Linked DNA regions of Xenopus tropicalis. The protein of the gene in region 1 binds, or shares a complex with, the protein of each later gene. Links are inferred from orthologs where the notes say so. Each region holds a gene or a part of one and is shown on either strand. Other genes may lie near its edges.

What was found. The genes of interacting proteins can lie anywhere in the genome.
Region 2: the proteins of dkk1 (region 1) and kremen1 are in contact, whole or in part, in a crystal structure (PDB 5FWW), measured with the Homo sapiens proteins. The link is inferred for Xenopus tropicalis from reciprocal best matches to the Homo sapiens genes DKK1 and KREMEN1. Residues at the interface, in NP_036374.1 of Homo sapiens: Cys189, Leu190, Arg191, Ser192, Ser193, Cys201, Arg203, Trp206, Ser207, Lys208, Lys222, His223, Arg224, Arg225, Lys226, Gly227, His229, Gly230, Leu231, His261; in XP_011528731.1 of Homo sapiens: Pro67, Asn88, Asp90, Asp92, Ser94, Trp96, Gly105, Val106, Tyr107, Trp108, Tyr110, Asp127, His128, Gly129, Pro132, Thr140, Asn142, Glu164, Ser165, Tyr167, Ala168, Phe170, Asn189, Val191, Phe193, His196, Asp203, Gly204.

Annotation. Positions count from the first base shown.
Region 1 is NC_030683.2:13,844,837-13,849,050, reverse strand, and holds the start of dkk1 (dickkopf-related protein 1 precursor), read right to left. Parts: upstream 2,934-4,214; 5' UTR 2,788-2,933; coding exon 2,578-2,787; intron 1,193-2,577; coding exon 1,039-1,192; intron 1-1,038. UniProt on the Homo sapiens protein: Antagonizes canonical Wnt signaling by inhibiting LRP5/6 interaction with Wnt and by forming a ternary complex with the transmembrane protein KREMEN that promotes internalization of LRP5/6.
Region 2 is NC_030677.2:166,149,126-166,152,734, reverse strand, and holds the end of kremen1 (kremen protein 1), read right to left. Parts: intron 2,167-3,609; coding exon 2,007-2,166; 3' UTR 652-2,006; downstream 1-651. UniProt on the Homo sapiens protein: Receptor for Dickkopf proteins. Cooperates with DKK1/2 to inhibit Wnt/beta-catenin signaling by promoting the endocytosis of Wnt receptors LRP5 and LRP6.

The sequences.
Region 1 (4,214 bases):
ACCGAACCTCTTTCAATACCTATTCACATAATGCAATCACCTGCAGCCCCTTAAACGATGCAGGACAAGGAGACAGTGGGAATTAGTGATGCCCTAGTGAGCCCCATAGAGCGCCCAAACAATAGGCGACCTACATGCTCAGCAGGGCAGGCAAAGCTAACCTACAATTGCCCAGGCCGGGGGCCATTACCGATTGTAATGCTAATCGGAACCTCTGGGTTGTACTGGTTTTAAGAGAAAACCCTCATGTTGCCTGACATTGTCATCAATTAAGGGGGCAACGCCATGTAGACGTGAAATGGGGGGGGGCTTTTGATGTCAATTAGCGAGGCATTACTTTCAACGTCAGGGTAGATGGAGGCGGCGTACACCTCGCGGTTCTTTTCATGTCGCTTATAAACAAATGCCATTATGTAATGACGTGGGCTAATTGTGCTCAGGGAAAAAAAAAAAAGACTTTGATCAGAACTTGACAGCTGCTGGAGTGGCTTAAAGTCGGAATTTCACCTTGTACTTTAGCAGCAAGTACATCAAGACAGACTAATGACATGTGGGGGTTGTCAGTGTGGCAGACAATTAGGCAGATGAGCTTTGCTCCGGATCATTTAGTTACCCTTTAACTGCTAGTAAAGGTGTCTGTCACCCGTACAAATCGCATACGGTCATGAAAAGATTTGCAGTTGGTCTTATTTTTTTTTTTGCATTTTTGAAAAGTTTATTTTAGTTTATGTTACTATAGTAACAATAAACATCTAGGTGATCATTAAAAAGCTACTAAGGCAAAACTTCCCCTTGGGCACAGGATCACAGTATAAATTATAAAATGTCATTATGGGACAACGGAGTCTACTTAGTCCCAATGAATAACATTTTAATGTTCTGTAAATGGAGAAATAAATCCTTGGGATGGGATTTGAACCTATAAAATTACTTGTGCCATAGAAAGAAATATATCACGGAATCAAGTATTGAGACCATCATCCTACCCCCCCCCCCCCCACCCCAAAGGCCATGACAGTGGTAACAAAAGCCCCTTACCGTTGCTACAGTAGTTGCCGGTGCAGCACATTGCGTCCCTCAGGCAGCGCTTGCGGCGTTTCCGGCATGCCAAGCAGACCAGGGAGTTGCCATTTCTGGAACTGTGGCAGAACTCATCCAGGGCACAGTCGTCATCTTCTGTGCAACCGTAGAGCTGGGGGGGAAACAAGAGGAACAGGTACTTTAGGGTGGGGGGGTATCAGGATATGTATTGCTCCAGTGCAAACACAGGTGTGTATCCAAAATATGGCAATAAAGGGCAACTAAAGCCCTATGAGAGGTGGGGGAAATGAAGCTTTCAAAAAATAACAGTATACTGTGGGGAGATCACAGAATAATACAGGAAAATGACAGAATGTGTGACCAAAAAAAACAGGGGAATGACAGAATGATAAAGGGAAACAATCACAGAATGATACAGGGGAATGAAAGTATGGAAATCACAAACCAATACAGAGTATTTTAGGCAAACATGGAATGATAATGGGCAATGACAGATGAAAAACACAAGGAGAAGATTATACAGAATAGTATCAGGAGCAATCACAAAATTATAGAAGGAGATGACAGAATGCTGTAGGAAAAACCACAGAATGCTTTTCTGTCACTACACATGAGCCAATCAGCTGAGCTGACAGCCCTTGCATCACTAGAGCAGCCTTCCCCTTCTGGCTTGCACCCCAGCTAGCATGTAAGGGTTAAACACCAACTGTCAACTATATTCCTAACAGTCAGTTCCGACTGTCACCCTCACTGCTCAATACAGTTGTTTAACAAGGTAGAGATGGAACAGTAACACTATACTCTTTCATAGACAGAGATAGATAGATAGATGATAGATAGATGATAGATAGATGATAGATAGATAGATAGATAGATGATAGATAGATAGATAGATAGATAGATAGATAGATAGATAGATAGATAGATAGATAGATAGATAGATAGATAGATAGATAGATAGATAGATAGATAGATATGGATAGATGATAGATAGATAGATAGATATGGATAGATGATAGATAGATAGATAGATAGATAGATAGATAGATAGATAGATGATAGATAGATAGATAGATAGATAGATAGATAGATAGATAGATAGATAGATAGATAGATAGATATGGATAGATAGATAGATAGATAGATAGATAGATAGATGATAGATAGATAGATAGATAGATAGATAGATAGATAGATGATAGATAGATAGATAGATAGATAGATAGATAGATAGATATAGATAGATAATATAGTAAAGACAGTTAGACACAACCAGAGGCTCTGAAAAACATTGCGAAATGGAAAGGCTATACAATGTATCAAACTATTACGCATTTGACAACGTTTCGGGCGCATCATCTAAACTGTATGCAGAGCCCTACAGTATCTATACCCATAGGAATAAAAGTTGATTTCCCTGATGAGAAGAATAAGAATGACCCCCATCCTTCCAGCCCAACGTTTCGGACCCCCATCCTTGCAACCCAAGAGGCAAGAAGCATCTGACGCCGGACTTTACGCTTTATGGCCACTTACCGGGTAGGCATCCAAAGGTTGGTATTTGTTGGCAATATCATATAAGGAGTCCGGACTGACACTGACAGGGTAGTAGCCAATGGGTTGCCCAGCCGGGGCCGCTGGGACGTTCTTGATGGAGTTGGAGTTGGTCATCATGACAAAGCCAAGTGCCCCATCCAAGATAAACCCCCCCAAGGCAAAAAGAAGCATCAGGAACATCTCGTCCATTCCTCTGTCCCAGTAACCAATAACGGCAGGATAAGTCCTCCGGGGATAAGTCCCTTGGGTGCTGCTGAAGACTTGGGTGCTGCTGATGGCTAGGGTGCTTGGGTGCTGCTGAAGGCTTGGGTGCAGCGCCGGTTGTGACTGCTGCGCTCCGTGCTCAGTTCTGGAGAAGCCGCCGAGGCGCAGCGGTATTTATAGCGCAGGGTTTGTTTGCGCACACGCCCCTCCGCTCAGAACAACAAAAGCCAAGGAATTGGGATTTCAAAGCCCTGGGATTTATGACGCTCCGGCAAAGCTTAAATCACAGGGCAGACTGGCAGCCAGGGATTTCACAATAATTGTAATTATCAATTAATTCTTTTTTTTTTTCTTTTGCAAGATCACACAGGGCTTCCTGCAGAAGGGATTGCGCAAGCCATAAGGATAAATGAGGGAAAGCCTTCATATTTTATCCTATTATCGCATCAGCGGCGTAATCGTGATTTTATATGGTTACAGGTACTGGGGTGTGTAACTGGGATCGATCCCCTGTCCTGTGTTACACTGCTGGCCCTTATAGGCACTGGGGGTAAATGTGGCCCCTAGGATTAAATGAACTTTTTAAACTGCTTTGATTCACCTGATTTATTCAAAAGGGACTGGTATATAACAAGTTGCCCAAGGAATGGTCTGTAGCCATGTAGGGTGCTGAATACATGGGGCCCTCCCTGCAGATATTTGGCAGTACATGGTTATTGAATTTGACATTTTAGGTGGCCCAAATAGGTTGCGCTGCTGGGGGCCACACTGAGCTGCAGTTGTCAGTAGGAGGAGATAGGGTATAGTAGGAGTTGAGGGCAGGGTACCTACAAGAAGGCAATATATATGGTAGAGATAGGGCAATATGGTGGTAGTAGGGCAAGATGGTAGCCATAGGGCAATATGGTGGTAGAAGGGCAAGATGGTAGCCATAGGGCAATATGGTGGTAGAAGGGCAAGATGGTAGCCATAGGGCAATATGGTGGTAGTATGGCAAGATGGTAGCCATAGGGCAATATGGTGGTAGTATGGCAAGATGGTAGCCATAGGGCAATATTGTGGTAGTGGGGCAAGATGGCAGCAATAGGGCAATATGGTGCCAGTAGAGCAAGATGATAACTGTAGGACAAGATGGTAGTGATAGGGCAATATGGTGGTAGTAGGGCAAGATGGTAGTGATAGGGAAATATGGTGGTAGAAGGTCAAGATGGTAGTGATAGGGAAATATGGTGGTAGAAGGGCAAGATGGTAGTGATAGGGCAATATGGTGGTAGTATGGCAAGATGGCAGCAATAGGGCAATATGGTGGTAGTGGGGCAAGATGGCAGCAATAGGGCAATATGGTGCCAGTAGAGCAAGATGATAACTGTAGGACAAGATGGTAGTGATAGGGCAATATGGTGATAGTAGGG
Region 2 (3,609 bases), on another chromosome or scaffold:
CATTTGGCTTGACTTCAAGAATTGCTTGCAAGCGCTATCATGGGTCTATGGGGGGACTGGTTTGGGCACTTTGGTGCCATGTTTTCAAGCAACTAAAAGTGTCAGAAATGCTTTCCTGATTGATCAGGGTCATTCTAGTTTGATCAAATTTGTAATTTAGAATGATAAATCATCAAAAAAGTTACTCATGAGTCCATAGAAATCTTTACTAAATGTGATCAAGGGGCTCTGTGTGTTTGTGGATGGTATGGGGCTCATTTGCAAACATTGGGTAAAAAAACTTTAAATATGCTGAATGACGGGCCTTCCTATATTCTTTCTATTTCATTTTGTATTAAATTCCCTTCTAAACAGTCAAATTAATTATCTAATACATGAATACCCATTCATGTATTAGATAATGAATCTTCCTCTTTAACCAGTTTTTCATGAAAATAGAATATTTGTACGTGGCACATTTGAAATATATGCTGATTATAGTTCATTACACTTGCCGTACATATATAACACAATGAGATGTGTAATGTCTGCAAGGCAAAATAAAATGACCACATTCATTAGACAGATAATTGCCGGTAGATTATTACTCAGATCCTGATTATTACCCAGCAGCAAAAGAGAAGAAATGACCAAGGACATTGGACAAGAATATTATCGTAGCATATTTTATGGTTAAAGCTAAAAAATGTTTCCATGTTTTCATGAAAAAAACACAAATAAGTGTTTAAAATATGAGTTTGGAGTCCTGTTTATGAGCGCAATTATCCTAAATGTGCCCAGATATGTCATTCTACTGACACAACTCTTCTTCTAATCAGACTGAGAGGAATGAGTGTAAGACAAGCAACCCCTTTTACTTTACCTTTACATAAACAGCATAGATTGGATTGTTTTGTTTCACTGGATTGGATTATGTTATTTTTATGGCAAATGAAGCTCCTTTTGGGTGGGAATGTGGATATTCTGCACTATGCCTGTCTCTGTCTCAGGATTGTTCCAAGTATTCAATGTTCTCTTGACACTGCCAAATCATTCCTCAGATCATAATTATTACCCAGCAGCAAAAGAAAGAAAGAATAAATGACCAAGGACATTGGACAAGAATATTATCGAAGCGTATTTTATGGAACAAGCTGAAAATCTGCTTCCACATATTCAGTTAAAAAGACAAAGGCTTGTGTATGAGAATGGATTCTGAGTCCTGATAATGTGCACAATCATCTTAAATGGATACAGATATGCAATTCTCAAATATTCCGCATACAGGGATCTACTGAATGTTCTGGCCCCATAAACACCGAGACCCATTTCATGCAGGTCCTCCTGAACCTTCAGTCCCTCGTACAGAATTCATTCATTCAATGTATCAGACAGTGTAAACTCTGGGAATGATGGGAAACCTGTTCTAGTTTGGCTCATAGAAAGATGGCTGAAGCTTTGATTTGTGTGTATTTCTGGTGGTTTTTGTTTGCTCAGTGTAACAATATGTACATTTGCACAGTACAAAACTCCATCACAGTAGCTCTTGATGAAGTAGATCATGAGAAAACCAGACAACCTCCGTTGCTCCTTTAAGAGCTGTAAGTTCATAAATACAATATAAAAAGTAGGAGCTGAAGGCAAGTCCAATGTCATGTCAAATATGGGCTACCCCGCTGCACAGAGCAGGGATGATTGCATGTAACGCTTGCAGCATTAAGCTGTGGTTCCATCCCAACACAAACCACATGTTGTCCATGTGCTGAATTAGAGGCTAGATAGGGGGTTTCCTAATTCAGCAACACCAGCAAGCTTATCCGATCTCACTCTTTGTGGATCTTGTATGAAGGTGCCACAGCACATCTTGGACAGTAGGTACGTCTCTCTCAACTTGAGTCACAATGCCAGGAAGATACTGTGCAGCTGACATCTGCTGTCCATGGTCTGTTGTGAAAGATGTCCAAATACAGATGTGGCAGGAGTTTCCCCCGGGAAGCCCAGCAATACTGAAAATCCTCCAGCAGAACTTATTCTCCTACCAAAGGGTTGCGGTCATCATGCTGACCCTTTAATTTCTTTGGAAAAATAGAAATAGATGTGGATGGCTTGTAGAATATGCTCCAAATTTCTCCTGCGGATCCTCTGTGGCAGCTGTCCAGGCTAGATGGCGATGCCAACCTGGCAGACCTTGGAAAGAGACAGGTATTAATAAAGAGAATTATGGCTCTAGATGCATTTCCCAAGCTACAGATTTTTCTGTATTAGTTCTATGAAAGGATAACAGCTCACATGGTTAGACGCCATGTTTGTATAATGAAAATTTGGGGTTCTGCATTTGTCTTAGGGTTCATGCAAAGTATTAATTCGGGCAACAAAATGGTTGAAAAATGACAGTGTGTGTCACACACAAGGAGACAAACTATAAAATATTACTTTGCAATAGTACATTACCCCACAAGGCTCTACACCATATACTCAAACATTTAAGGTATGGTAGGTTGGTGCAGGCACTTGCCAAACAGCATTCTAATTGGCCCAGAGCTTGTGCACTTAGTATTAAAATGTGCCCACTTATAAAGGTCCCCATCACTACGAAGTAACTGTAGCACAGGCAGTGGGCTCACATTTTATTAATGCCGCAAAATTCCAAAGCACATTGCTTATAGATACAGCAGACTGAATAATCTTAAAATTTAATACATAAAAACTCACCCATGTTCTGTTCATTCCTATTTGATTTTTAGAAGCTTATTTATCAAATAGTGAACTTTAACTTTCACACATTGATAAATACAGTTCTTAAAATCCCATAGGAATGAACTGAACATAGGTGAGTTTTTATGTATTAAATTCTAAACTCACATTTTCATACCCCCCAACTGTCCCGCTTTCCGCGGGACAGTCCCGGTTTTTAGAGCGCATCCCGCTGTCCCGGATAGTTCCATGAATGTCCCGCATTTCTGTAATAGATTACAGAAATGCGGGACATTCATGGAAGTATCCGGGGCAACGGGAGGCGCTGGCTGGAATCCTTCTTCTTCAGCGGTTCCTCTCCGTATACGGCTCCTTGTGCAGTGACGTATTGACGTCACACGTACACACGGGGCGCAACCTTATAAAAGGGCCTGTTGCCGCCGTATGAGGAGCCGCTGAAGAAGAAGCCACTGTGTATGGGGGGCACTGTGTATGGGGGGTACTGTGTATGGGGGCAATTTGGGGCACTTTCTGTGCGGGATACTGTCTATGGGGGCACTTTCTATGGGGGGTACTGTATATGGGGGCACTTTCTCTGGGGGTAACTGTCTATGGGGGCACTTTCTATGGGGGTACTGTCTATGGGGACACTTTCTATGGGGGGTACTGTCTATGGGGGCACTTTCTATGGGTGGGTAATGTCTATGGGGGCACTTTCTATGGGGGGTACTGTCTATGGGGCACTTTCTATGGGGGCAATTGGGGGCACTTTTTATGGGGGCACTGTGTATGGGGGCTCTGTGTATGGGGGGTACTGTCTATGGGGCCACTGTGTATGAGGGGGTACTGTCTATTGGGCCATTGGGGGCACTGTGTATGGGGGGTACTGTCTATGGGGGCTCTGTGTATGGGGTGTACTGTCTATGGGGCCACTGT